4 linked regions of the Lepisosteus oculatus genome follow. The protein of the gene in region 3 purifies or fractionates together with the protein of the main gene of each other region. This does not show direct contact. Links are inferred from orthologs where the notes say so. Each region holds a gene or a part of one and is shown on either strand. Other genes may lie near its edges. The genes, in order: cop1, jdp2b, jun and dhx9.

Region 1 (7,140 bases), about 12 Mb from region 3:
GAGCTCCCTTAAAATCGAATTAATCTGCAGTAATTAATTGAACAAGGCAGCGATGGGTCTCATTATCAGCAAGAAACCTTAAGAGAACAGAAAATGACCCACTATGTTTAGGGTTTATCATATCAAAACTTAAACAATTCCTATTTTTTGGGATTCACACAATTGTGGGCGACATTCCAGGATAACTGGCGGGTTACTGAATCGTGGCTACTGCACATAGCAAAAAACTGCAACAAAGTTCTGTAGCTGTAAAAAGAGGTTCATGAAATTAAGATACACCTTTCATGGGCTGATGGGTTACTTAGTCACCTAGATGGCAATAGTAATACAGTAGTGTATAATGAGGTCATGAGGATTTCCACCTTAAAATGTACTGTATGGTTCATCATCAAAACTCCATTCTAGATCACAGAGGAAAAGAAAACTGCACCGAGGTCCCAATATTTTGTTTTTGTCCACATCCCAGCAGTCAGCAGAAAACCCATTCTCTGAGAACGAGTGTCAACAGAGCCATCTGCTTTTTGTCATACTGTAACCCCAGAGCATGACCAGTTTAGCATTGCTTGTCATAAGGTGGACCTTCACAGCATGGACTGTTATCTTCGTCTAAACCCAGGTCAGTGGCAAGGATAGCCAGTTCATAGGGAGCTGAGAATCCTCAAGTTGATACTGCCTTATGTAAAATCACAGAAGATCTCATGTATCTGTTTACTGCTTGTGAGAGATCCTGGCCACAATGAGATATTAAAACAGTGTAAGATCACTTTATTAGCCATATACAATTTCTTGCATTAAGAATTTGTCTTCTCGCATACCCCAGCTTGCTTTCCATGAGACACAGACACAGACAGGGAGAGAAGCTCGGGGTCAGAGTGCAGGGTCAGCCATTGTACAGCGCCCAAGGAGCAATTGGGGTTAAGGGCCTTGCTCAGGGGCCCAACGGAGTAGGATTCCTCTGCCGGCCCCGAGATTTGAAGTGGCAACTGCTCTGCCCCCCAGTATATGAACTAGGTTTTTCTTAAACTAAGAGACCTTGCAGGATATTATTCTATGCGTTTCTCAGAATGAAAGATTTTCTAAATATGATGTTTATGAATTTGTGTTTTTGGCATGATAACTTGTCAAAATGTATGCAGCATGCGAGCCAAGACACTCTTGCTAATGAGAAGACATAACTCTCTCAAAATAATATAATTTAACTGAATCAAATGGAGTTGAAAAAAAAAGTTGCTTTTAATGGAAATTGCCTGTGAAGAAGATGACAAATAGTCATTTGTATATTAAGGAAATAAAATTGTGATCAACACCCAGTGGAGAGTACAACTATGACTGAAAAAATATTTGCTTACTAATGTATTTTTTTTTCATACAAGTGAGTTCATTCTTACTAAGAAATTAGGATTTTTTTTTAATATGGGTGATATTACACAAAAGTCCCATGCTGACATTTTCCTGTACTGTAAATTATATATGAACTTAAGTGGGCTGAATATCTATGCATTGAAACACTTTAATTATAGAACAGGTATGGCTGTATGGCTTTAACTGAATACCAAGTACAGTACCATGAGCTGTTTGTTCTACTGAAAAGAAATGCTCAGTTTACATTATTTTTCAATGTATGTATTTGATTCCAGACTGGAGAAAAGCAGTTTCAATTTCAGCTGAGTGAAAATGTTCTTGTAAGGTAATAATGATTTTAATAAATACAACACGAGGAAACTGTAAAATCATCACAACATTGCTTCAGATAGTCTTCCCAGACACCTGCTCCAGTACTGATTTCATTGCATAACTGTATTATTCCTTACCAATAAAATTCTGACCTCGTAAAAGACACAATTCAGAGAAGCACAGATGGACTACCTTTTTTAAAGCTCTGTATATTACTCTTTTGGGTCAGATTTCAATGAAAATGAGGAAAGGAAAAGACTTTTTGAAGAAGTGCCTTGGAGGAGAGGGCAAATTAATAAGATGTGGGAGATTCAGTCATATCTGACAAAACAGGACCCTGTGGCAGATTCAGGAGGGCTTTTATGGCTCAGCTTGGAACACTTCCATTAATTTTGCACTTGCCAGCAAGAATTTTTATCATGATATGGGTTTGAGGTACTGGCCCCTTGAGAGATCAGAAAATAAACCACTGGTGGTCCACTTTTTCTTATGTGCTGCCAAAGAGGCACTTACTGTGTCAAAGTTGCCTACCTTTCAAAATAACTGCTTTAAAATATTAACTCAGAGCTGAGATGAGAGCTAAAGGATACGCATTCTTATTTAAACAATGATAGAAATGCAAACATTGGGGACTAGAATTTATTTCTCCTATTAAAAGCTGTTTTCTAGAATTAACCTTGCCTGCCTTGTTAGAAATTCTTACCCATAGCACAACATGGCTTCATTTCCACAATTTGGGTATTTATAAATGGTCTGTTTAGACACTCCCCACACAGAACCTTCGGCACTCCTCCCAGCCCACCTTTGTTTTGTTAGAGAGACCTCTCTGAAAACTCAAAGGGGTTTTAGAGCAGACCTGATCTCCCACCATCACAATGTGCCCAAATTCCACTACCTAAAAACAACAACTGTTAAGAAAAAAATACCTCAGCTACTTAATTTAGAGGAGATACAAAAAAACAAACAAAATATAAATTATTTAAGTTTAGCATCTTAATGTATGGGGAGAAAAACAATATTTTGTGATGTTGCATTCAAAAAGACCTTTTGGGAGAATTAGAAAGTATTACCATAGACACAACAAAAAAACGTATATGAGTAATTATGATAGAGGACAGTTTCAGCTTCTGGAGAGACTTAGCCAAAGCAAAAAGACACTACAAAAAAATAAAATAAAAGTGCTGCAGAATCTTAAAGCTGGACCATACAAGCTGTTTCACCTGCTATATTGTAATGAAAAATGCAAGAAAATGCTCACTCTTCATTTTGTGGACAGAGGAGACCTATTGCTGACAGAACAAATAAACTGTACTTTGCTGCTACGTACTGTAGCTTGTCCTGCAACTGAACGTGTTGCTGTTTGTGTAGTTTTCCTCTATACATGAATATAAAGTAATAAAACACAAAAAGAAACAAGCTCGCCACCTTGTGTTAAAACTGAGAAAATTTAATGCGGGAATACAGTTCATACAGGAGAAAACAGCTAATAAAACCAAAAATATAATGTTTTTATACAACATAGGTACAATTTTTGACATGTTCATTTGATTACATTGTATTTTTCTTTCATGGCTCAAATTTCATTTACATGTCTTTATAAATATTTACTTATTCAGAAAGGACAAGTACGCACACCTACTGTGATAAGAAGAAAGAAAGCATCTTAATCCATTACATCTTAATATAAGCATCATCTGCAAATGTTCCCAAAATACTTTCGAAAATCATCATTAAGCCATCGGTAGCACAGCTGTAGTATAAAAATCAATAATTGTATGACACAATGTATTTTATAGCTCTTTGTACAATTATTTTGAAGTATACGTGTTTTAATTGCACTGTATTTTTGAGTACATATCGCCCTCATGTGGATATTCCCGGTATTATTAGAAACATGCAATGAAGGGTTATTTTTCAATATTATTTATGATTATTTCAGAAAGTTGTGACCAACTAATCTGCACATGTGTCGAAATGAGTCATTACCATCACATATATGTGGTTTGTTGTTATTTTTCGAATAACCTCTTTTGTTGTAACCTTTCTGGTTGGAAAAAAAATCAAAATAACCGCTTTTTCCGTTATCAAATAGAGCTGCAATAAAACTGTCGTGGCATTTCAACATTTGCAATGTAACTTTTTTGCATTAAAATTAAGTTGACATACATAATCCATGGGTATATTTTTTTTTATTAAGACTAGTTACAAAACAAGAAAAGCGTTACCAGCCTGTCGTCGTGATAATAAATTCTTCCCTCGAAATGAATGGGTGTTGTGTATATATAAGTACTGCACACTATAGGCCTACAGCTCAAGTAATTATACCGTATATCCCTACTTTGTGTGAATAGGTTGTATATAAAAAAAAAAACACCTATCCTCTTCAAATGTAATTTAAACCAAATGGATGTTTTACGTGACTTACGAAGTCCCGCTATTTTTTTTGTACCTGTACGTGGGAAGTCCTGCGTGTTGACGCAGCGGCGCAAAGGTGGCAGCTGTGCGGTCCCGCACTGCTCTGTAACCGGGGAGATCGCTTGTAGTTTCCAAGTCTCGGTTTGGCAGCGGAGCTTTGTTCGCAGGATTTGCTGTTTAGCTCCTTTCCGTGTCTTTCAGGAAAGTGATAGCTTTCGACAGTTTCAACAGCCTGATCGCATTCCCTGAAATAACCCGATCGGAGTGACTGCTGGTGAGGTTTTTTTTTTTTTTTTTGGGGGGGGGGGGGGGGTTGTGTCTTTCTCCTGAGTTTCTAAGTCTTTAAACCTTGCAGCCCGGATGCAGTGAGCAGGAGCCTGCGGCCTGCCAGAGCGGAGTTGGAGCAGCGGCCTCGAGTTATGTCAACCCCCCGAAAGCCGCAGGTTGGAGGAGCGGCGGGCTCAAGGCCTGGGACGAGTAGCAGTAGCAGCAGCAGCACCACCACCACCAGCAACAGCAACAGCAACAGCAGCAGCACCAGTAGCAGCAATAATGCCAGAAACACAAGCAGCGGGAGTGGTAACACTAGTAATGGGACCAATTCTGCAAATGTTGTCTCTTCACGGACACTGGGAAGTGGAGCCGAGGGGTTACCTGTGGCCGCTTTGGGGATCCCTACTTCCCGAGTTACTCCAGCTTCTCTGGCCAGACCCGGCTCGTCCTCTGGAAGCAGCAGAAAACGTCCTCTTCCAACACCCCTTTGCAATGGCCTCATAAACTCGTACGAAGACAAGAGCAACGACTTTGTGTGGTGAGTTATTTTTGTTGTTGTTTTGAGGGGGGGCATTTAAATTCCATAAGGCCGACATGAATCATGCCGACTGAGGCATTTTTTTGGATTGTTCTGAAAGTGAAGAAATTAAGATACCGGTGCTGGTTTTTGGTATTGTGTTTTTTGCCCCCTGAATGTTTATATATATATATTCCCCATTTTATAAATAGTACAACACGTAATTACTCTCATCTGCACTATTGAAACATTGTGCGAAACGGGACCCAACATCAGCTCGTAAAATCAATCATCTCCCATCAGACATTTGTAGTTATTATGTTTTTGAGTAGGACATTTTCGAGTTCGACGAGGATTTGAAATTACAGACGACAGCATAATGGTCAAAATTAAAAAAATAGATTCAGCCCCATTTAGATGCATTTTTTTGGCGACAGCTTTACATTCTGGATTTGTGGGCTATACAATAATGTGTATTCCTGCCTGCAGCTGAGTTACTGCGTTTACTGGTACACGTTTGTCTTTATTCGAATGAATGGATGTTGTAGGTCAAACATTTGTCTGGTCTGAATTGGTCACGTTTTTTTTTCTCTCTCCTGAAAATGGCAGTTTAGTACTAAGCAAGCCAAACTAATTTCCTGCTTTACACAACACAGTAGTTGGTTTTTGGTTGTCAGATGTCAACAAACGTTCGGGATGCCACAGTGAAAATGGAAGGTTTTTCCTCCTCTTTGCCTTTTCGGCAAAAAAAAGTTTTCTTTTGTTCTTACAAAGTACAGTACCTCTTGCACCCCAGGATTAAGACAGTGCCCGTACGTTGCTGATCACTGTCAAACGTGATGTGTTAAACCTGTCGCAATCTTTCAGGACTGGCTGATTGCTTAATGTTTGTTCTTTTTGGCTTTGCAAAGTCTTGACATTATGTCCTACTTTTATGTGATGCCTACATAATTATTAGCATGTTATTTTTTTGTCCATGATTTTTTTTTATTTAGGAACAAATTTCTTTTCTGACTATTGTTGAGAGCTTAAGATAATTCAGTTGTTATATGCCATTTTCATGGTCCTTCAGCAATAAAACATTATTGTGTCTTCCAATTGCACACCTCCTTACCACCATAAATCCGCTCTATACTGTATTGTACAATAAATGATTAACTCTCGTTTTTGTTTTGTTTTTTCTAATTTTGTATCTTAAGGAAATGTGCTATATAGTGCTTGGTACTGTTTTCTAAAGGCCCATACATATTCTATTTAATTATAGCAATATATCCGTGTTCGTTTTTAATGATCGTGAAGTCTCATTTGTGCAAAGTGTGGTGATCTTTAAAAATATAGACTGTACTAGCTTTAGTGAATTGTGTAAATTAAATAATCTGTTGCAATATGATTTGAATTGTTTTTAATGTGAACCTTTTTTTCAGCCCAATCTGTTTTGAAATGATTGAGGAAGCTCATATGACAAAATGTGGGCACAGCTTTTGGTAAGTAATCATTTAAGCATTAAAAGAAGAAAAATGTATCAAAAAATTTGTGGTGCACTTAAGGTAGCATTAGTTGGGATTTTAATTAGCTCTTTTATGTATTATTCTGCATTACTCAGCATAGTTTCACAACTACCTTAATAGAGAAAGTGCAAAGCTACGTTAACAAAGTACAGCAGAAATCACATGTGAAAAGTTAAGTTAAAATTTCTGTCACATAGTTTCTTCATTTGAGACTTGCCATACTAAGCACCTTCAGTATCTGAATGTTTTATGCTGACTTCATGATTTATTTGATAAACGCTATTAAAGTAGCTTTTTTGGTAATGATAATCTACTGTACTACTAGTGAACTGCTTGACGTGTATGCTATTAGTAGATTCCTTAATTGCTGCAGTCTATTCTAGTTGTAGACAGTGCTTTTTATTGTAGGAAAATGTAATTGTTGGATTCAGTCTGTCTCATTTTTGTCAGTACTGGTGGGTTTTGGAAGTTTTATAAAAATGTAAGTTTTATTTCCCTATAATCATTTTGTGATTAACACAGAGTGCATTTTTATACAAATGGGTTTTAGGATATGCTAAATCTTAATTTTATTGCACAGAGCTATATGCTCTAAGCTTGTGCTTTTATTGTTGTTTTTAGAACTTAAATGTGCAGTAAAATGTTTTTGGGAACATAGGAATTAGAGTATTTTTTTAATATGTAATCATCTTATATTTTAAATGAACAGTGATGAAAAAGTCTGTTTTTTATGCACCGTTTGTCAGCATTTTT
Region 2 (7,301 bases), on a different chromosome or scaffold from region 3:
TGAACATTAATTCTGGCTTTTATCTTCCTCATATTGCAGAAAGATGTCAACCCCGGCTTTGTTGAGTTGTGCACAGTGATGTATGCCTGAGACACTCTGCTTCTCATGTTCAAATGAGTCCAGTTAAAATAGACAAATCTCTCATCAGAAGGTTCCATGTTTCCTCAGTAGAAACAGCTCAAGTTTTGTTCTGGCTGCACTCAAAAGAGATAATTGGCTCTTTCCATTGTAATGTAAATAATCTGAGCACACAGCTGAAGGGTGTACTGTGCTTTGTGCTGATGATATTGAGATTAAATAGAGTACATTCATTTATATTAATTACATATTTTGCGCTTAGCTTCAAACAACATTGTATATTTTCACAAAAACCTGATTCAAAGTGATGATTGTTTTTTAGTGAGTATTGTAGCCTTCCTTATACAATCACGTCTGGGTTTGCTCACACATCATGTGAAGAACAATTCCTTGAGGCTGATGGATTAATCTGAAAAGTCTGAAAAATGAAAAATCCTTTACAAAAACAATGAAATTGAAAACATCCCCTGACAGCTGAAGGGCTTGTGTAAGTGATTTTGATAAATCAATTTTTTTTCGAACAGTTGCACAACTTTTATAGATTGCTGTTCTGCTTTTTCTTTGGTTTCTTTCGTAAATCATTATCTATATTTAGATAAACTGACGCATCAATTCTCCCAGGAAGAGGACATAAATCACTGATGGCCCCAGTTTAGAATTTTTTTAGAGAACAACTTATAGGTGTATTTTGGTGTGGATAATAAACCGCAGTTGTCTGAGTACTGTGGTGTGTCGCCCAGGCAGACACCACAACTGTCTGTGCCATTGAGATGATGATGTGAATACAGGACATGTGTCTGGAAGATTAAGCAAAAGCTCTGCTGACTAACACTCTCACAATCAAAAAACGTTCCTTCAACTTGGCGATAACAAGGCTGTTACTTTAGACTGGACTTTTTCGCTAAATTAAATCCACATTTGTTAATGCTAGCTTGTGAATCATGCAAGCAGATTCATCAAAAAGTGCTTTGGTTGTAATTTTCTTCAGAGCAACAGTCTTTGCGTTTTTGCTACACAGTCACTGGTGCAGATGGTCCTAAGATGAGTCTACAGGTACAAAATTCTGAAGAGGAAATTGGTTCATGCAGGGAGCAAGAAAAAACTTATGCCCACGTTTGATTTGGAAAATTAGTAGAGTTCTGTGGTGGCAGCAGTCCAAGGTATGGCAGTAGAAGGTAGTTTGATAATCATTGTATACATGAGTTCTTTGTCTTTCCTTAGAAAGAGCCTCCATAGCCAGAGACAAGAAGGCTGGCTCTACTGCACAGAGTTTTAGGGTGGAAAGGGCTTTTGCATAGTCCAGGGGCATTCTCCAATATTTCAGCAGGCACCAGAGATTCAACCATTTCAGGCCACTGAACCGTTTCAGTGCTGAGGAAATACGCTCTTTGGTTTGTTACTGGAAAACAAATCAGATAAAAAATAACTCAACTTTGAGTGTTGGTTGAAGTCTGTCAGGGTATCTTAGAATTGTTTTTCATCACAAAGAGGTTCTTATTTTCTTCCAGAGTAAGTGCTTTTAAACCTAAAGCAGAACAAAAATGAGTTTAAATGTTACTGTTATGTCTGCCCTCCGTACAGACGAATTATTTTATTGTAACCTCGTGGAAAAGTCCTTCCTTTATATCCTTACTTTAATTTATGTGGAGGAAAATAAATACTGCAGTGATTGATTGTCCAGCTCTCTCACGCTATCATTGAGAGAAGGTTCCTTCCATAAACTGCATCTTAGCAGACCTAAGTGATTTATACCTCGTGCTGGCCCATATAGTGCAGTCTTTGTACTTGCACTATATGGGCACGGCATCAGTAATAGGGCCTTTCTTATAATACCCAGTATTTCCCTTTCCAAAACACTCAGTGCCTTTCTTCAGTGCCTTAAACATGGCACTCTAATATCATATTATCTTACAAATGCTGCGTTAAAGGATAAAAGATTGTTATATAGTAATTGCATAAAACCTGGCTTCATCCCTCTTAATATATAAAAATATCAATATTTCCACGGTCTTACATCTGCATCTATAAAGGAAACAACAGGGGCCTGTTTGTCCAGTTTCTCCCTTTTCGTGCAGTTTCTGTTAACATCCTCAAAAACCGTAATAATGAAACTCTTGAATGTAAATGATGATAATTGCACAGGAATATTATAGAAGTTTGATACTATCCCCTCTTTTGAGAAATAAAGGTCACAGTACTTATTTCTCTGGATGTGCCTTTTATACTGAATTGTAAAACCCCCTTTTTATCTCCTGCGGGTTGAAGCTGTGTCTCTTGCCCCTCAGTAGTTGATCGGGCTTGCTTCAGCTGTAGCTGCTGAATTTCAGTCCAGTCACCGTTAAAAGCACACACTGGAGACTCTGTGATGAGAGGGGAAAAAGGGACTTCCATTATAGTACTCAGCGAGAATTCAAATTGAAGAGAAACCTGGCAAGATTCACGATTCACGATTCACGATTCACGATTCAAGATTTAAGATTTAAGATTTCTTTATTTGCCATATACAACAAGTGTATTGGAATGCTTACTCGTTCAGCTGTACCCAGTAACATTAGAGAAAAAAAATTAGGCACAAATGACAAACAGACATGGAAAATAAGTTTAGACAATAGACATGATAATACAGCCAAGACAGGACATAGTGCCAACAGTGCAGTACCTTAAAGTGCAGGTGCTAATATGTGCAGGTGCCAATTTGAGCTATTTAAGATGCGGACTGTTTGGGGGAAGAAACTGTTTTTGCATCTATTTGTCAGTGTTCTGATACTGAGATACCTCCTACCAGAACCCAGGGGTGAAAACAGATCGTGGCCAGGGTGAATTGGGTCCCGAAGTGTAGCTCGAGCCCGGTTGTGGCAGCGATCGAGATATATCTGGTCGATGGAGGGTAGCTCGGTCCCAGTGATCTTCTGCGCGGACCTCACAACCCTCTGTATGGCTTTTCTCTCCTGTACTGTGGCTCCACCACACCACACCGTAATACCACCGGTCAGGACACTCTCAATGGTATTACGGTAAAAATTGGTGAGTGTTGTCTTGCTCAACCCCCACTTCCTTAACTGTCTCAGGAAGTGAAGGCGCTGGTGGGCTTTAGTGAGGATGGCAGCAGTGTTCTCTGGCCAGCTCAGCCCCTCAGTGATCTGGAGACCGAGGAACCTGAAGGTGCTGACAGTTTCGACTGGAGCCCAGTGAATGATGATGGGAGTCCGACGTCCACAGCGCCTCCTGAAGTCCACTATAATCCCTTTTGTTTTGCCGATGTTACGTGTGGGGTTGCTGTTGTGGCATCACTCCACCAGCTCTGCTACCTCGCTCCTGTATGCGGTTTCATCATTGTTGCTGATAAGACCGTTTACTGTGGTGTCATCACAGGTGCGGTTGCTGTTAAATCTAGCCCACACAGTCATGTGTAAATAGAGAATTCAGGGATTCCGGGATCGAAATGTTAGTTTATAATGAAGGTGCTGGGCTCCTTGAAAATTAAAACATAACCGTTTGGCTTCCAGCTGCTTCTTACTCGAGACTTTCTGCGTTCTCTGCGCCAGGGCAGCGTTTTCCGTGGAGTTATTTCTCACACACACACCCCCCAGCGACCACGACACAGGAGAGTGTGAAATCGCAAGCGAGCTCGTATCACACACGCAGAAGTTATGTTGTAGTGAGAACCTCGTGCACGATGTCAGTTTCATCTGGGCAGAAAAGGAAGACCACAAACCGCTATCGCAGAGAAATAGACCTCGTTAGACGTTGTGCGTGAGTACTTTAGTGTGTAGCTTCGGTGTCCCTGCTACATACAGGGTATTACTAATATGCTTGTCCTGTTGGGACAGCTGATGGCTTCACTAACAGCTTTATTTTGAACAACCACTTTCGTTTTGTGAGTTTCTCATTTTTGTCATAGGTCTGCAATACCAGTGGAGGATGCACGACGGCAAAATGGAAGATTTTTAGTTTTGTTTGATACCGGCGCTGCTTTGTTTTAGTATTGATTTAATTGCATCATGTTTAGTTTCTTTTTCGGTCCCGTGGTGACACGTTACGTACGTCAGGTGTGGTGCATTTATTTACAAGGGATTCCCGTGTGCCTCGCGTGGGTGGACTGCACGAGGTCTCTCCAGCTGGAAGCTGAAACAGTTGCCGTGTTGTTTGTTTTCTGGTCGCTAGGGGTGGAGCCACCCAGATTTTTTTCTCTCTTCTTCTCCCTCTCTTCTGCGTTGTACTGTATTTTTACATCCCTGCTTACGTATGGCGGAGGCTTAAGTCGGTTCCGCATTCCCAAACCCTCCCAGATAGGGATCGGTATAAAAACGGGCTGATGCAACGCTTTCCACTCTTTAAAACCTACGTCCGACCTTCAGCTGACCTGAAAAAAGAACGTCTATCGGATTTAGGAGTAAAGTCAGGTAAATAGAAGAGATCTTTTTTTTTTTTGACAAAAAATATTATAATTGGACATCTATCAGTTAGAGTCACGCACCGAGTTTGAATAAAGTTTGGCCACTTTTTTTAAAACAAGGTTTCGGACTGCAGTGCCTGGTGTATGAACAGAACAAGCGTCATGCCTATCTGGGTGTAGGATTGTCAGTTATATTATCTATTTTTTTTGTAAGCAATACTATTGTTTTGCATGCATTGTGTAGCTGGGTGCCCTTTCTTCGTCTGCACATTTTTTGCAATATGTTGCACAATATTGAGTACTCGGCACTTTCGCTTGCTTTTTTCCAGCAATAATAACTAGAGATTTGAGACAGAAAAGTAACTAATGAGAGTCAGATGAAACATGAAAATGCGTGTCGATCCGGTTTTTTTTTACGTAGACTTGTTTGCATTAGTGTGAGCTCTGTTGTTAGACCATTAAAGTTAACGGCGTTTAATTAGCTACAGAAGTTACACGACGTTACGTAAGACAGAGAACATTACTAATTGAACAACAACTTCCGCTTTGGAAGTTGTTTGGTGTAGTTTTTTAAAAATGGGTTTTGTGAACGTTTATCCACAAATGGAGGAAAACGTTTTGCCCCTTCTAGAGCAGATGATGATTTGAGTTGAGCACATTTTCAAGTTAATTTGCCTTGAGATGAAATGTCACAAGTACTTCAAAGTTGTTACTGCTTCATCATTCTTTTTACACGTTCGGTTTTTGCAATTCTTTAGTTCTTAGAACTTATTACAAATTTGTCTTTACACAATGTGTCTTTTTCAAGTGAGGATTGTCTCTAAAAACAAATTGGAACTCCTCTAAAGCGAATAGAGTAGGGTAGGAAGCATGTTTAATAAGTGACTTAAAGACCACAGAAGTAAATCGTTTTTGCACTTGCAATAATAAGGAATTCAACTTAGCTGTTCGACTAATGTTTGTCAAAAAATGACAATGTGCTACATGCCTGCTGAATCGCTGAAAGCTGTAACAGATGTGGTTGTGAAAAATAATGCACAGCAGGAACATGAGAATTCCGTGCAGGTATTAATTTGGGTATTACTTGTGTAGGTGTTCGTGAAACACATGATTCATGCTTTGATATCAAAGGGCCGCAGCTTTAAAAATGTGTATATATACACATTTTAAATGGTCGAATTAATGTGGGCGTTCTGTAGTTGATGCATCCTTTGCGGGGCTAAACGCAGATGAACTGCTATGAGATGAAGCGTTTTCCCCGTGAAACGCAGGAATGGAACATAAATCTGTGCAGCTCAACTTGCTTTCCCGGCGAATTCTTCAGAAATATTTCCTGTGCGGTGCGATGACCCAAGCTTAATGTGCCATGTCTGTGCTAGTAGGCAGTTTTCTACAGTGTGGCACTGCTTATGTATCAATAACTGGGTTTGTCACACTTGGTTCATTTGGAATGAAAGCATTTCCCCTTGGAACCGAGTTTCATGAACATGGCTTCCTGTAAAAATGCTGAAATTACGCTTTTCTGTCATAGTCACGGAGGTCTAGTAACATCGTGTTATGTACTATACGTGCGTATGTTTTTTCCCCAATGTTATATTAAAACACTTTGCACTCAGAAAACTTAATACACTATATTTTTTTGTTTGCACGATCACGGAGGACAAGTACAAGTTTAACGATTATGGGACGTCATGTGTTCTTCATATACTTTTGACTGCCTCGAAGCGATTTAAAAAAAAAAAAAAGATCCATCCCTCCTCGGAGTATTCCAGCAAATTGAATTTACCTTAACATTTGGGATTTAGTATGATATGCTATAGCTGAGGGCTGTGATTTAGACTGTTGTTTCTTTTGATATTTCTAATAAAACTACGGTATAATGGTGAAACCCTTGTGCTCTAGTGCAGAGTTTGCTTAACTCTTCCAGGGAAACATTTTGAATATTTAAAGACAGGTGTTCCTAAGAAAACGTCTCATAAGTACCTAAAAGAAAACCATTTTTTTTTAAATTAGATGTCTTTGTGGAAAACGAGATGGAGTTTATTTATTTGGGTGTAAGTGTCTGATCAGTTCAAATTCAGAAAACAGATTTTTACTAAAACTATTTACTAAGCATTCTGGCAACACCTGAAGAGAAAAGGATCAGAAAACTCATGAAGCTTAATAAATGCAGTCATGGAGATGTACCAGCAGGACCAAAAAAAATGTCCTCAGTAGATGGTGAAATAAGATGTTTTGCTTTAAGATTTTTCCCCCTTCGTTCTCTTTGTGGGTGTCCAAGCAAGTCAAAATGGTTTAAAATAATTGGTGTTACAAAAGTCATATGGGCCCTATTAATGATCTTGTTGCTGTCAGGTCTTTTATCATTGAAACCCCATCAATTTATTTAAGTGAGACCTCAACAGTTTCAATATGATGTCAGTATACTGTAGTTAGCCTATGTATTTATTCCATTGTGGCCTGAATGAGTGATTTTGTTTGAAAACAAACATCTATAGGAATTGAATGTTTAAGTTGAACATTTTCAGGTTTTTAATTCCAGTTCTAGAACTTGTAAGGTGTACACCCAAAATGTTACGGTCAGCCTCTAAATGACAAAGGAAGCAATGGACATAAATGGTAGGAAAATATTTCAAAACCCTGAAGCCTCTGGTTTATTCAAAGGGACAAGGACAGCTATTAAAAGCCATCTGTTGTATTTTTGTGAAAAAAGATGACATTGCTCTTAATTAAGGAGAAGAGACTTAAAATATTTTGGGTAATTTTGTGTTTATGTTTGGGTAATGTTAAGGAGTCCTATGTTGTTGTTTTTTTCAGGCAAGAACCA
Region 3 (7,702 bases):
TTGAAACTTTGTCACATAAAGACCACCTGAAATCAAGCTCAATTACACATACTAAAAGATGTGATTCACTCAAGATTTGTTTTCAATACAAAAAAGGCTAGGACTTTTTGAATGCCTGTTTAAAATTGACAGGAACTTTTTTTTTTACACCAGATCCAATTAATATCAATATCTCAGTTTTCAAAAGTCTGGTCAGCTAGGCACTTAACTGTTGCTTTTGTGGTATAAAGAATCCTAGTGTATAAAAGAACACGCATTTCCTCTTGAGCTTTCAAACTTGAAAGAGGCAGTGCAGTACCTACCACTTCTGAAAACAGGAGGGAGGGAATTTTGCGTAGGATGTGGAGAGTACAGAAGAATGCCTGCAGTTATCGACGGATCAGTTTCAGAACATTTTAACTTGCTCGTTATATGAAAAAAGTGGGGGAAAAACGTTTAGGGAAGAAAACCATTTTCCTTATACAACTACAAACCCACCACCCAAAACTTAGAAAAGAGATACATTACAGACATTCATTTTATATACTTTATTTACACGGTCCTTAAATATAATCGATTAGTTTCTGAAATCTTCAGAAAACCAACATAAAAAATTATATATTTATTACAAATGGTAAACATAAGTCCTCAAAATTTAATCTTATTTACAAATAACAATGGGTTAAACCCCATTAAGCAACATAAAACAAATTTACAAAGGCTTGAAGCTTTTTGTATTGAAAGTACGTGAGTTGCCATAAAAGTAACGAAAAAAAAACCTTGCGTACATAACCCAAACTTCAGGCAACTTTTTTCAAAAGTATTCAGCCTTCTTTCATCACAGTACACGCCTTTCCATGGCGTTACATACAGGCAACCTACTGTTTCTATTGCAGTGTATTTTGTTTTACTTAAATCTTTTAATACTGAATGATCTTCGAAGGTAAGGTCCATGCAAAACTTGGTCAACGTGGTCTCTCTCTTTTCGTTCTTTCAGGGAAAAAAGCATGAAACAGAACATTTACAAAGCTGTGCTGTTTGTGGCCTTGTCTTTTGCTACCGACAAACTCAGCTTCTGAAGTTTCGGACTTCAGTCAAGTCGGAACTCCTGTGCGCGCGGGGCTCAGGCAGTCAGGCAGCCTCCTTCCTCTCAGTCTCTCGTCTTTCTCTCAGTCCGTTTCTTTCTCTCACTGCTGCATACTAACTGACCGCTGCTATAGCTCGTATAGCCTTTTAAGTTTCGTCCTTGATTTCTCTGCAATTAGTCTTTAACTCGCTCGCGCGTTCTCCTTCAGAAGGTTTGCAGCTGCTGTGTCAACATGAGCTGGCACCCGCTGTTGACATGATTCATGACCTTCTGTTTCAGCTGGGCCACTTGCTCCCGGAGCATGTTCGCGGTGGAGGCCAGTTCAGAGTTCTGAGATTTGAGCGTCTTCACTTTTTCCTCCAGCCTGGAAATCCTCTCTAGCTTCCTCTTCCGGCACTTAGAAGCAGCGATCCTGTTCCTCATGCGCTTTCTCTCGGCCTTGATCCTCTCCTGGCTCTCCATGTCTATGGGGGAGAGGGGAGGGGTCTCGCCGGGCATCTCGGGTACAGTCTGCGGCTCCTCTTTCAAAGCTTGGAGCCGCGGGTGCTGAACTGGCAACTGCGAGTTCATGGGGTGCTGGTGCGGCGGAGGTGGGTAGCTCATGTTTGTGTTGGCATTGCTGTAGCTGGGCGCCGCTGCGGTGCTCATGGTGGGATTGAACGTGCTGAGGTCGGCGTACACGGGCGGATCGGAACGCATGCTGGAATTGAAAACTGTATTACCAGCCATAGAGGAAACAGGTGCCATCGCGTTGTTAATGTTGCTCTGCGGTGCCGAGGTGACACTGGGCACACCGGGCATGTTCTGGTGGTGCAACTCAGCCAGTGCCCTGACGAAACCTTCGGCGAACCCTTCTTGCTCGTCCGTGACATTTTTCGGGCACAGGAACTGTGTCGGAGTCGGGGTTGTGGTGATGAGACCGTTGCTGGACTGAATGATAAGCCGCTCCAACTCCGGGGAGGCTAATTTGAGCAGTCCGACATCCGGAGACGTCAGGATGTCATTGGCTTTTGCCCGCAGGTGAGGTTTGAGAGAGACCGTTGGATCTGAGAGATTCAGGGTCATGTTTTGTTTCAGGGCTTTAGGGTTATATCCGTAGCCGGTTGTTTCGTGCTGAGAGAAGGTAGCATTCAGCGAGTCATCGTAGAAAGTAGGTTCCATCTTGGTAGACATAGAAGTTTGACCAAACCTCAGTTCAAATATTTTTCACACAGGAGACAAAAAAGTTTCCCTTGTTTTACCTGTAGTTATTGAAAGTCCACCTCGGTCAAAGTTCGACTTGTCAGTCCTCCTCGACTTTTCAGCAATGAAAAAAAGTCTGTTCTTTATAGAAGAAAGCCCTTTTTTCTTCAGTTTCAAAGTTGTTGTAGAAGTACTTGTCCAGTGTAGCCCGTCTTTAACGTCTGTTGCTACTCGGGGGTTTGTCAGCTTCTTCGAACTTGGATGTTTAAGTTGAACTCCCCAAAGCCCAGTCAAATGGGGAAAAAAGTTTTCTTCCTTATTAGCGACACTTCTCTGAGTCAGCTTGCTCAATGACACGCACAGTCTCGGGGTGTAACTGAAGCAGTGTCTGTTAAAAGTGCCTTTTGTGGTACTCTTCAGTTGTCTTCTGAAGAAACGTGTTAAGTGCTGAAGTTGCTAGGGGGCTTATACACCTCTTTAGACTTGGGTGTTGAACTCTGCTAAAGTCTGTATACTCTGAGCTGTTCCAGCGTGGAGGCAAACCTTATCTGCTGGTACTGCCTCACTAAAAATAGCAATGATGTAATGCGTGAAGTTTCTTATTGGCTGCAGGCAATACACTGGGCGTGCCCTTATTTTCAGATAAGGTGCGTTGCCTAGACGACCACCCAGAAGATTCTACTTCTCGCGGTGGCTGATGGGATGAGGTAATTCGAAGTACTGTGCATTATGGGATTACGTATTGTTTTTGAATATCTGGTTACCCGCTTAGTTACACAGACAGCGGTTAGATATATTTAATTGTTAAAGGAATATCATTTTCGTTTTGTTTTTTAAATGTATTAATTTTTTAGTTTTTACGATAATTATTGGTGTATGATTAAAACACAATTTTTATGTTAAAGCTGGTAAAACGTACTTGAAAGTTTAAATCTTGGGACATATATGCATTTTACCTGTATCTCTGTTTAATGACACTTTATTATTGGGAATAGACCTAATAAGGGCTGAAGATGGTGCAAGGTACGACACACTACCAAGAGTAGACGGATTAAAACTATTAAATACTAAAATACGATTATTTTACAAATTCAGTACAGCTGTTGATGCAGCAATGGAATCACATGTGAAAATAATACACTTTTGAGAAACCATTTGTCAAACTTTGTTTTGGCTTGTAAAAACAATGTTAATTTAAATAAAACATGTTAAAGTAAGAACACACTACATCATAATATGAATGATTAATTTTAAACCTTGATAAATAATTGATCTCACCAGTGGAATTATAAATGTTTTGCGAGTCTGTTTGTATTACATGCAGGGACATGTCTCGGTTAGGTTTAGCGCGCTGGTCACAACGGGGTCAATCGATGGATTAGGTCGTCTGTTGTGATATTGACATGATACACGTCCAGTTGTCCGAGCGTCGCCCGCCAATCGAATTAAAGCAGGAGGCGGGTTTAAGGTAAAGTTACAGCAGGGGTCTCTCAAACGTCTGTGGGACTTAGCATAAGGGGTGCTCTCTAAACTACAAAATTCATCCAAACACGGGAAGACAACTTTTTTATTAAAATATTTTCAGTTTTTACTAGGTACAGGTAGTGACTCACATGTTTTTCTATACCATGAAAACACAAAGGTGTAGACTTTACTTCGCTGTACATTTTTCCTACTTTGTGGATAGTAACAATGTTGGGTATACCGTTATGTAAGGTGTTTTCAAGCCTTGGACTCCAGTACTAATACTTCCTGCTTTTTTAGCTTTAGTAGGATTGTTAAAATGCAACTGTTTTAGCGAATATCAGTTTAATGATTAATTGTTTAGGTTAGGACGGGCAGCATCTTGTTCTCTTATCCTAATTTGTCTTGTTTTAAAGACACCAATTAGAGAAATGTCGTTTCAAATTTAACAATATTATAAAGCTTCAAAATGTTGTTTGTGCTAACGCATGTGTGTTACCCTTTGAAGAAAGCAGTTGCTTACTATTCCATATTGTGCTGAATCGTCTGTGATACAAAGAGTACAAAACGCGTATTCTGTTCTATTCTGTTCTTATTCTGTTGAAAACGATTATCCCAGTACTGTACCTCTGTCTAGTTCATTCTTGTGCCATTTATCAAATACTTCTGTCGTCTTGTATTTCTTCTTTAAAGATGTTTGCGTTCAGAGTTTAAATACCTTTAAAGGTTGATATAACTGACACGTTGCTTAAGGTACTTTGTCCAAGTTTTGAATGTCCTGGGACACTTATCGAAAAAAGCACATAGCAAATGAATGTTCATTTGTGTACTCAAGTATGGAGTAATTTTTGAAAGAAAAGTTTACATTGTCGTATATTTATATGTATAGTATGCGTTTGTTATATTTCGTCGTTGTTATACTGCGTCTAATTGTCATAAACGGTTGTAGTATTTACATTTATTTTAACTAATCGCTGATGCACACTACGTAACACCCGATATAAATAAATCGTAAGTGAAAAATTAAGATTATATATACAGAAATAACCTGATACTTTCATTTAATGAAATAACCATCAGAAGTAGTGCTTTTTCTGTTTAGGTGTGATGAAAAGACTTAATAAATACGAAAGGTGAAGCTCTCACAGCACACATACAGTAAATGGCATATACACTATGTTATGTATGCCTATTCCATCGCGAGTTTATCCGACTGAAGTTTTTATATATTTACTTTATAAATCATTCATAGACATCTGCGGATATGTGGAGATTTTGTACAAACACTGTTGTTCAGCCTCTTAGATGTAAGTCTCCGCCCCACCACACACAGCCGGGAGGTTTATCAGAGGAAATAGAATAATTATCTGCTTTAATATGGTTTTGTATCTCGGTAAAGACTCTCCGGATTCAAATGAAAGTGTTTTGATCTAGAGAAAGGTTACAGAGAGGCATACGGTTTGAATAAAATAGGTTCATATCAATAATTTTAAAAATCTGTTTTTAAATAATCGGAGGTAATCAGAAGTGGATATATATATATAAAAAAAACCGAAAAGTAATTTCCTCATGCCCAAACAATACATACAGTAGTTGCTTAACGATAGGGATCTCGTAGAAGTACTTGTTCGGCTACTCTTGCCTTTGCGTTTTTATTTTTACTGTGTTTTTTGAGCATGTCCCTAATAAGTTTCACATTGTTGCAACAGCCCGAGCTCGGTCTCTGTACATCACGTAAACATGACACTGCACTTGGTCGATACGCTTGAGTATATCTGGAAATGGTAATGAAAGGATACCGCGTTTTAAAATTCACTTGTCCCCCCCTCCCCGGTTTTTTGTTGCTGTAACACAGCGATCGCAAAGTTCGTCAAGAAGAGAGCAGCGTTTTACCCGAACTGTGGAAAATAGATTTCTAGATTAATATGTATATACATTTAGAGAAATCTCAGACACCTTTAACTGTAGAAAACGTTTTAATATAGACGCCAAAGAACACAAAAGAAATGCAAATTACGAAAATAAAATACATATAATGGGTTAAAAAAATGATCGCAGGTTTTCAGAGTGTAAAGGGACTGCTTGTGCTAGTGGTTGAATACAAGGGCGCGTTCGTGAATTATTTTTTTTAAAGAACAATTCAGAAACTCAGCACTGCGCATATTAAATTCCAGAGTCTGGGTCCTTCCATTATCCGTAATCGATTTGTCCTTTCAAGGTAGGCTACCCCTACTCAGTCGTTCGCAGGAAATGCACATACACATTCTCTTGAACACGCACACGGTGTAATGTCAGAGATGACAGTTAACTAGGACAGCGTGGTTTTGGACCAGAGAAAACCCACAGACTCGGGGGTCAAGCAGCACAGAAGCTGAGCTGCGCTAACCCCCCACGCCACTGTGCCATCCGGCTGCGTTTATTTAGTGGTCTAAATTACTACTCCGGGTTTTAACTGTCTCTAATCGTTTACAAGGTTGTATTCTGGCTCACGGACACGCAAGAAATAAATGAGACATGGCGATACAATAATATAGGAGAAAGCGTTTCTTTGTTTCTGTCTTTTTAACAGATTTGCTTCTAAAAGAGTTTTTTGCTCATGACATTTGAACTTCACAATGATGAACAATTTAAAATGTATTTTCCTCTTATTTGAAAGCTCATTTTACTGCTGGGACCTCTCCCAAAATCATATGAGCTCCACTAGTAAACCTTTCAGTGGATAATAAATAACAGCCTGGCCATCCAGTATTTATCAAACTAAGAGCCTGACTGAGAGAGCTATTACATGAATAAAATATTAGCAATCTTGCACTCTTTGAGCTTACTACAATGCATAACAAGTAGCATTAACTAAGGTGGCTTTCCATGATTGATGGAAAGTATTAGTACTTGTCTATAATTGGATCCATTCTTAATGTCTTTGTTGATGTCTCCCATGTCTTGTTACATTGCTGCTGAGATCTCCATGTTTGTGATATGTTCTGTAGCTTCCATTTATACAAGTGAATAGAAATATCTAACATTTCTACTGCAAGTAATATTGAACTACAGAGGAAAACTGAAGCATAGAAGGCTTTCTTATAGTTAGAACAACACCACAAACATCCTGGAGTTTTATGGTAAAAATCTTGCAAAGATTTGATGGTTAATGTAACAAGGAAAACAGGAGTGTACAATGTGGAAAAGGTTACTTCAGCAGCAGTATAGATATTATGTTATTCTGATATTCTGTGCAAAAGTAAAATTAATACCTAATACCTTAACATGGTTCTATAAATGCCTAATTTAATTGATTACATTTTACTCATTACTCATAAACTTTTCTGATAAACTGTTTTGCCTTTGCATACGCATAAATTCTGCATTATGTGAAATCTGTCAGTCTGGTCAACACACAGAGTTTCACTTTCTCAACATTGATGTGTTGAAAAGCTTTATTGTGTGACAAACCCTACAATCTTTCATTTTCTAAGTAATATGTCCTTGCTTGTGAAGTAATAACATGTACTGCTGTTTTGTACTCAGTTTGTTTCCAGTTGTGTAATGCTTAAACAGAGCTTAGACAAGACCTGTTATTTTTGAACACAGGAGAAGTGGCTACACACAAGCCACCTTTCTTGCAAAGAACGAGCAGTTTAAACTTTCAAGATAAGATAATGAAAGAACCACACATTCCACAAGGCTTTCTTTGTTTGTTCTTCATTTAGTTCTGAAATGTTGCTCTTTTGCAGACAAATATTTACTGTTTACAGAATATGAGCAACAAACACCCAATAAGTTTTCCTTTTAATATAATAAAGTGCTCTTCTCAAAACATGGCATTGTGTCATCTGACTTTATTAATTTGATATACTTTTGTTTTTCACCTTTGGTTGATTTTTATATCTCTTAAATTGATTCTAGGAACAGAACTATGGTGCATTAAATCTTTTTCATTATCTGCATTTTTGTGTTTATGAGTAAAAAGTGGGTGGCACAGTTTGTTAGCAT
Region 4 (7,392 bases), about 10 Mb from region 3:
AACCTAGAGCCACTGCCTTACTTTATAAATCAGGACACTTATGTTTTTGCAATTCAAACCCAGCTAACCCTTTCACATGCACAAAAGAGTGGAGACAGTTTGATTTAAGGCTTGCCCACCTAGGACATTATCAATTCACAGAAACACTGCAGCTTCAGCAGAGCAGCATACACATTTCAACACTTTTATGCAGATACAGAAGCCGATGTCTTAGAAAAACACTAAAACTGCTTCACAGTAACTTAGCCAAAAAGTTATAACTGAGTTTAAATGCATTAATAAGATCATAGTGTTATATAGTCTTAAGAACTCTTGACCTGCCAAAACTAAAAGCTTCTAACGCTCCTCATTTAAATAACTTCATATCATCATCACATTTGCATAACAGAGATGCTGCCATAACATTTTTCACTATTCACTCAAAGCATGGTTCACATAACACTAGTAAAAGGTGAAAAGCTGAATATCAAAGGAATGGACAAATGACCAAAAAACATTTTCTGACAAAAGAACCTCCAGTGGATCCCCCAGACCTGTTGTGGTCAGGCCCAACTTGGCTGTATTTGTAGTCTGACTGGTTCTTTTCCTTCTGAAAGAACTGGTTCAGACGGGCTTTGGCATTCTCTAGAGTCCAGTTACCATGAAGCCCAGCATTCAAATCAACTTCTTCAGACTCGAGAGTCTACAAGACAAAAAAAAAAAGCAGGAGTTACTGGTAATAATGGACATCTGTGTAACATTTAAAAGGAAAGGGTTATGGAAGCACCTTCTCTATGGAAAGTCTGAAAGGAAATTTGACCCATAGCTTTATAAAGATTCTCTAGAAACTAATCTCATGTCAAGTATCATAAAGTTACTTACATTAGACCGAAAAAATAGAATGCATCAATGTTTTCCTTTATTAAATGAAGTTTGAAAACCATTCTGTTAACCAGCTTGGAAAACTGCAGAATAATGGATTAATAAGGCTTACTGCTTGTGCTTCTTGTTCCTCCTTCTTTGAGTAGTAATCCTTAAGATTGGCGCCACGATCCCACTGGGCATTGTTAAAACCAGAATAGCCCAAACCAGTCACCCCTGGAACAGGTCCCGAGCTAGGTCCTGCTTCAGAACCTGAGTTGTGTACAACGAAGTTTTCCTGGTCAAATCAACAATCATTTTACCATATCACTGTCCATCAGTTTAGTATATACTGTCACTATACTGTTAATAGATGATACCATTAGCACTACACACACACTTTCTTTTTTTACCTATAGAAAACACTATTAAGCTCTAATTATCCATCTGCCAGCCAAGTGGCAGTCTGATATGTTCATATGACAACCACGTGTAATCAGTCCCCATTATTACTTGCTCCAGGGATCTCCTGGCATCTCACCTTGCTCAGCCTTTACAATCAGATGTGGAGGAATAGGTCCGTTTGGAGGCAGATTTCCAAAGCCGCCGCCGCTGCCTGCACCTGCTCCTCCCCCTCCTCCACCATCAGGACAATCACTGGCTGGTAAACTGGCCTTTAAACCAAAAGAAAACATTGGGATAAAAGCAACTAACCAGTAACCTTAACACCCATTTACAAATACATTCGCCTACTAACCCCCAATGCAGGGACGTCACTAGCATTCACTTCCCCCATACGGACAAGGTAATTGACGAAATCTCTGGCAGCGTTGGCTTGAGCATCCTTCTTATTGGTGGAGTTTCCCATTCCAGTGTAGTTGAAACCCTCGACACGGACCTGAGAGGACACAAGTGAATTAAACTGCACATTTTAGCGGCAATCTGACAACACGCAAGCTTCCCGAACCACTGATCCGTTTTAAAACTGCTGGAAGTCTAAAACAAAGCAGCCATTGTTAAAGAGAAAGAAGTATTTACATTTTCCTAATCCCTATTTTTGGTCTTGCTGATGAATTATTTGTCAGATATTTGAAGTAGGTTTAAGAAGATGACTCCGAAGAAGCTGTAATCACCTATAAAGCAGCAGGATAAATGTAGAACCATCCACATATTAAGGCTAACCTACTTGTTCTGCCTTGCATTGAAACAGATCATACAGAAGTCAACCTGAAAAAAAAAAGTACACAGGACATACAACAAGATGCATACCTCACACATAAATTTCTGTCGGTTTTTGTTTCCAGCTGCTCGAATTTCATAGTTGGGAGTGACTTTCCTCTTTCCACACCAGGCGTAAAGGAAGTTTTTAATGTCACCCATCGTGCGCTGACAATACTCCTGATAAGTGTAAGAATGAAATGTTGACAAAAAAAATAACATGGAACGGAAAAATCAGAAACTATGTATATATATCACTAAAAGTGTGAGTGCACGTATAAAATACATCTTAGAATACAACATTTTCAAAAGATCAATTGAAAACTCCCACTGTGCGTGACCGCAGTACTCAGTGCACACTAAACACTACTGTACTATGTAGACATTTTCAAGATCAACACTTTTGCTGTGCTACTGCTGAGTAGCTGATGAGGATTTTGCATGTGAATAAACGATGAAAGCTTAAAGCACAATTGCCAGAATCGTTTTTGGCTCTGTAAAAATGAAGCATTCTTTCAGTTGGACCCATGTTTTCTACATTATCTGCACGTACTCATGCCCTTGTAAAACCTCTTGCGTGTAGAGTTTAGGTTTGCACAGACAAGAAAATAAATCTAAATGAAGGTGCGGAGCGTGGCACCTTCAAACATATCTGAAAACATATTGCTAACATTGCTATCATATCATTGAGTTACAAAGCAACTGAAATGCAGCACCAGAGTATCGCAGTGTGGTATGCAGAGACACAAAAACCCGTATCTCACCAGTTAATAGAGGCTAACTCGCAATTACCGGCTTGAAGCTATCACAATTCATTGAACAGTACAGCTTCACTGGATATTTGGTATCTTTCTGAATTGCACACACATTTTCACGTCTGCAAAACAGAATTTCAAGATAAATGGCCCACAAACCTGTATAAACAGTCGCAAAGGAACCCACTTCCTCACCAAAATACAAAATGGCCGTCCCGGAAGCAAGCTATAATATCGGGGGCGGGGCCATCCAGTATTGGACCACGGTCTTCCAGAAAATAAAGTTATCGTATTAATCAGTCTCACCGTAAAATCTAACCTTAAGACTGTTAACCGCAGCAATATGGTGTAAAAAACGCCACACGTTGACCGTCTGTGTGCATTATTTGATAGACATGGTTGTGGCAAACATTTCAAAATTTAGGACGTTTAGTGATGTAGTGTTCCTTCTATATAGGGAATTTGTGTATCATTCAAGGTATAAATTGTTGCCGAGCAATATAAATTTATTAAGGTAAAAAGAAAACTTGGTACTTGGAGAAAAGGTACTTTATTTAGCATTATGTTTACACTTTACATTCTCATGTTTTGTAGGATACAGACCTTTTTAATGTCTAATTTGTGCACGCAGAAGGAAAGGGCAGAAGGCAGGTTTTTGAAAAAATGAAATTCCAATAAAATGTTTTTTTCCCCGAGGTCTCGTAGAATATTGGCCCATGTTTGCATAAAGTTCGAGTGAATTTTAATCTAGATGTTTAATAGTTTTGGGATTTTTCTGCTTTTAGAATGACCGTGATCAAATTGTTATTCTCAAAGTTGCTGAGATTTCGAATATAGAACTATTCAGCCTAACTGCATTTAATAGAAAACAATAGCTTTAGTACCCTGATGCAACTCAGATTATACAAAGTTGAATTATCTGTCAAACCCCAAATACTGTTGTAGAATACATCCATGCGTAAATATGCAAAAGTGAAACCTATAGCTGATAATAGCATACAACCGTTTACACGGATTAATATGCCACTGTATATTGACACTTAAAAAAAGGTTGTTAGACTGCATCTTCAAAACTGCATGAGCAGTAGTCTTTCCGCATGTAATTGTGTGTGGGAGGACCTAGGGAATTAGCAATTCATACCGTGCAGATACTCAATGACACCTGTAGAGGTCTCTCTGGTGCTTGGGACATTCTTGAGCCTTCAAAGTCCATATTTGCTTATTAAATCAATTTATCATTTTACCGCATTTTCATTACACTACCCTGCCAGTGAACCAGCATGGAAACGTGGGTGTACAAGTTTTACCTGTTTACTGGAATAGTCTTTGTAAACAAGTCCTTATAAATTAAAATCACGTACCCGATCTGATGTGATCCAAGCATAGACAGCTTTTTTTTTTCTGAAACTGTTCCTGTTAATTTGGTTCAGGAATATGTTCTGAACAAGGAAACTACAATGTTGCGCATATATCCCCTATATAATATATAATATCACGTATGAATCAATCGCTTTTTTTGTAAATGAAAACTTTAGCATGGTTTTTACTATTATCTACCATCTTAAATTGGTCCTTTGGGATGAATAAAGTATTGCAATTGTTTGCTTACCTTTAAAATTATTTTTAAAAAACTTGAAAACTTTGGTAAAAAAAAATGAATAACGCCTTCCCTCAACTGCCCATGTTTTAAAGTAGATTGTGGTCTGGGGGACGGAGCCCCAGATTAAGGGAGACGCGTTGCCGTGCAAACCACACCTGGCCTGAATAAGTGGAATGAACGGCAGGTGTGGGAGTGGTTTAAAACGTCTTGAAAAGAGAAAAAGATGTAACAGGGGTTTGGTCTTGCTGTAGTTATGGTGGTGGTGGTGGTGGTGGTGGTGGTGGTGGGACGAGGACGAGGACGAGGACGAGGACGAGGACGAGGACGAGGACGAGGACGAGGACGAGGACGAGGACGAGGACGAGGACGAGGACGAGGACGAGGAAGAGGACGAGGAAGAGGAAGAGGGAGATTAGCTTTCCCCGAGTGTGGATGCTCTGCTGTAGACTGGGCGATGTCTGAAGAGTGCGCCGCTTTGAAGGAGTGAACTGAGGCTTTATTAGCCGCTGTAGTAAACCCCGTGATGGGCTGGAGAAGAACTCCATTTCCAGATGGAGTTGTGAGGGAAAAGAGTAAGACTGTCAGTCTGGGAGGAGACTGATTAGAAGAAACGGAGCTTTATGAGATCCCTGAAAGATTCAAAAGGACAGCATCTTTCTAGGGTGTGAGAGCAGGGCTGTTGTTGTCCGCTGGATGAGTGAGTTGTGATTTGATTAGCGTGTGTGTGCGTGCACCAGAGTGGCTTGTGTGGTAGAGGGACTCTCCCCCTGGTGATGCATTGGTGTTGGGGCAAACAAGTGGGGTCTATCTAGCTATACCCTCTAGGGAGATAGTGCAGTGGTGGCTGGGCACAGAGTGAGGTGTGCTGGCAGCTGTGAGTTCAGCATGAGGATGTCAAGGTGTATGGGTGTGGGTGTGGGGCGGTGAGTCCAACAGGATGAACTTGGTCACCTTGATATTCTGAAGCAAAGGGACTAGAAGTAACAGAAGGTGGAGTCTTGTATCCTGTTACTCTGATGAGGGAGGCCAGTGTGATCACCACTCTTGAAGGAGAGTGTGTGTAAAGAAGAAAAGGAACCCAAAAGAGCTTTTAAAAAGGGCTGGGTTTGGGAGCCTGCCCATGCCCAAGAGGGTGTCCACAACCCCTTTGACACCACAAGAGTGAGAGGGGGTCAATATGATTGTGGGAATATTTGGTACACTTCTCAAAATAGGGGGGGGATACCTTTCAAGAGGGCTAAAGTCCCCCCTCATATGTAGTAACTGTTCTTTGGAACTAAGCCTTGGTTGAAGATGCATGTTTCTGACAAAATCTAGCTATATGCCATTGTTATGCATTGTGTATCTCATATCTGTAAGCATTAAAAATGCTGCTGTGCTTATATTAACAAGGCATTCATCTTATCAGAGTTACGAACTATGAAAGGTAATGTCTCAGAGGTAGGCTCATTTTTTATTTTTTATTTTCCTTTAATGTGGGCTTAGTTATCTATCCCAAAAGCCAGATTTGGTTTCTGTCTTCTAGACATATTCATTTATCATCTTTGTTTAAGGCAGTTATGACATGATATGCCTACGAGATGGATTTTCCTCCTATACCCTTCGAAGAAATGATTAATTTATTCAATTTCAGCAAAACTGAGTTTTATCAATTCTTATTCCTCCCACAAACTTTAGTTATCAGGGTGCCATCTCAAAAAATAAATAAAAATAAAGATGAAAGGACAGTTAAAATGTAAATGCTAGGAAATGAAGACTGCAAGAAGTCTGTAAAAAAGAGCAATCCTTAATCCACTGCTGAGGGAAATGTGCTCTCCTTGATCACCATACCTATTGAGCACAGAAATGGACAGTTAAAACTGCTGATACTTGATGAATCCATTTTAAATGATTTTAGCTAAATACCTGATGTATACTATGGTTTAAGGAATTAGCTACTTACTACACAATAAGCTAAATGGGTTGAATGTCCTCTTATTATGTTCAAAAATGGCATTGTGTTTTGGAATAAATTATTCCATGGGCTACCTCATTACATACCAGTAGAATACAACTACACTGTATGTTTACCTTTATGAAATGAGTTAAACTTGTTTGTATTGCTTCTGGTTTATATAATACTAAAGATGTGTGACTTGAATGGTTTTCTGTGTTCTATGGAGGGTTGTAACCCATATTAAGGCATTTCATTTTCCTAATTTTGGACTTTTTATGCTGTTTCATCTGCATATAATGCTGAACAAAAAATTAGCTTAATTATTATCTCCCTTGCAGGAAGGTGAAATTATTAAGATGGAAGTATGTGGCAACTACATTTAGCAGGCTTCCTGCAGCATGGAGGGGTTTTTCGTAAAGCTAGTTTGCATGTCCACACACATTCCCCTGGAAAGATCAAGGCTCTCGCTGGAAGGATGCCCAATCATTAGTCTTTCTGCTAATGGCCAAGCAGATTTAAAACAAAAAATACAATTAATTCGTCGGTGCGCATATTATATTTAGTTCCAATTTTTTTTTTCCTGAAGTGTTACAAAAATGCAACTTCCCTGTACCCCTCAACAACAAAACAAATCTGACAAAAACAGCCAGTGGCTTGGGCACCTCCGAGCGGTTTGACCTTAGACCTGAAGTCTACTCCAAACAGGCGCTTTAAAATAATTGTTCGATGCGAATCTGAGAAAGGAAAATCTAACCCTGGATTCAGAATCGGGCATAAATGCAAACAATCCATTAACATTTTTCTCACAGGTTATAATGTTGTACTGCAGCACAGCACATTTCACAGTGTAAAGCCGATCATTCCAAAGACTGATTTTTTTTTCCCTATTTCTTAAATAGAATCCATTCATTTTACTTGCACTGATGTTAAATTAAGTTTTTAACCACAGAGTGTTCGTTATATGCAAGTAATCTTTGAGAAAAAGGTCTATGATTGAGAATCTTTTTTGGAATATAAGAGAAATGATCTAAACCACTTTCTGT

What was found.
Region 1: the proteins of jun (region 3) and cop1 purify together in Homo sapiens (affinity purification with western blotting; 9 studies listed by BioGRID and IntAct, counting the BioPlex papers as one, with this or other methods). This does not show direct contact. The link is inferred for Lepisosteus oculatus from reciprocal best matches to the Homo sapiens genes JUN and COP1.
Region 2: the proteins of jun (region 3) and jdp2b purify together in Homo sapiens (co-immunoprecipitation; 3 studies listed by BioGRID and IntAct, with this or other methods). This does not show direct contact. The link is inferred for Lepisosteus oculatus from reciprocal best matches to the Homo sapiens genes JUN and JDP2.
Region 4: the proteins of jun (region 3) and dhx9 purify together in Homo sapiens (affinity purification with mass spectrometry; 3 studies listed by BioGRID and IntAct, with this or other methods). This does not show direct contact. The link is inferred for Lepisosteus oculatus from reciprocal best matches to the Homo sapiens genes JUN and DHX9.

What each region holds. Positions count from the first base shown.
Region 1 is NC_090704.1:6,368,397-6,375,536, reverse strand, and holds the start of cop1 (E3 ubiquitin-protein ligase COP1), read left to right. Parts: upstream 1-4,133; 5' UTR 4,134-4,363; intron 4,364-4,444; 5' UTR 4,445-4,508; coding exon 4,509-4,900; intron 4,901-6,303; coding exon 6,304-6,363; intron 6,364-7,140. UniProt on the Homo sapiens protein: E3 ubiquitin-protein ligase that mediates ubiquitination and subsequent proteasomal degradation of target proteins.
Region 2 is NC_090703.1:8,547,451-8,554,751, forward strand, and holds the start of jdp2b (jun dimerization protein 2), read left to right. Parts: upstream 1-4,279; 5' UTR 4,280-4,393; coding exon 4,394-4,481; intron 4,482-7,301. UniProt on the Homo sapiens protein: Component of the AP-1 transcription factor that represses transactivation mediated by the Jun family of proteins.
Region 3 is NC_090704.1:17,935,113-17,942,814, forward strand, and holds jun (transcription factor Jun), read right to left. Parts: upstream 2,792-7,702; 5' UTR 2,240-2,791; coding exon 1,271-2,239; 3' UTR 513-1,270; downstream 1-512. UniProt on the Homo sapiens protein: Transcription factor that recognizes and binds to the AP-1 consensus motif 5'-TGA[GC]TCA-3'.
Region 4 is NC_090704.1:7,602,814-7,610,205, reverse strand, and holds the start of dhx9 (ATP-dependent RNA helicase A), read right to left. Parts: upstream 3,021-7,392; 5' UTR 2,973-3,020; intron 2,922-2,972; exon of another isoform or gene 2,823-2,921; intron 2,239-2,822; 5' UTR 2,221-2,238; coding exon 2,110-2,220; intron 1,739-2,109; coding exon 1,598-1,738; intron 1,515-1,597; coding exon 1,382-1,514; intron 1,114-1,381; coding exon 974-1,113; intron 683-973; coding exon 534-682; intron 471-533; exon of another isoform or gene 1-470. UniProt on the Homo sapiens protein: Multifunctional ATP-dependent nucleic acid helicase that unwinds DNA and RNA in a 3' to 5' direction and that plays important roles in many processes, such as DNA replication, transcriptional activation, post-transcriptional RNA regulation, mRNA translation and RNA-mediated gene silencing.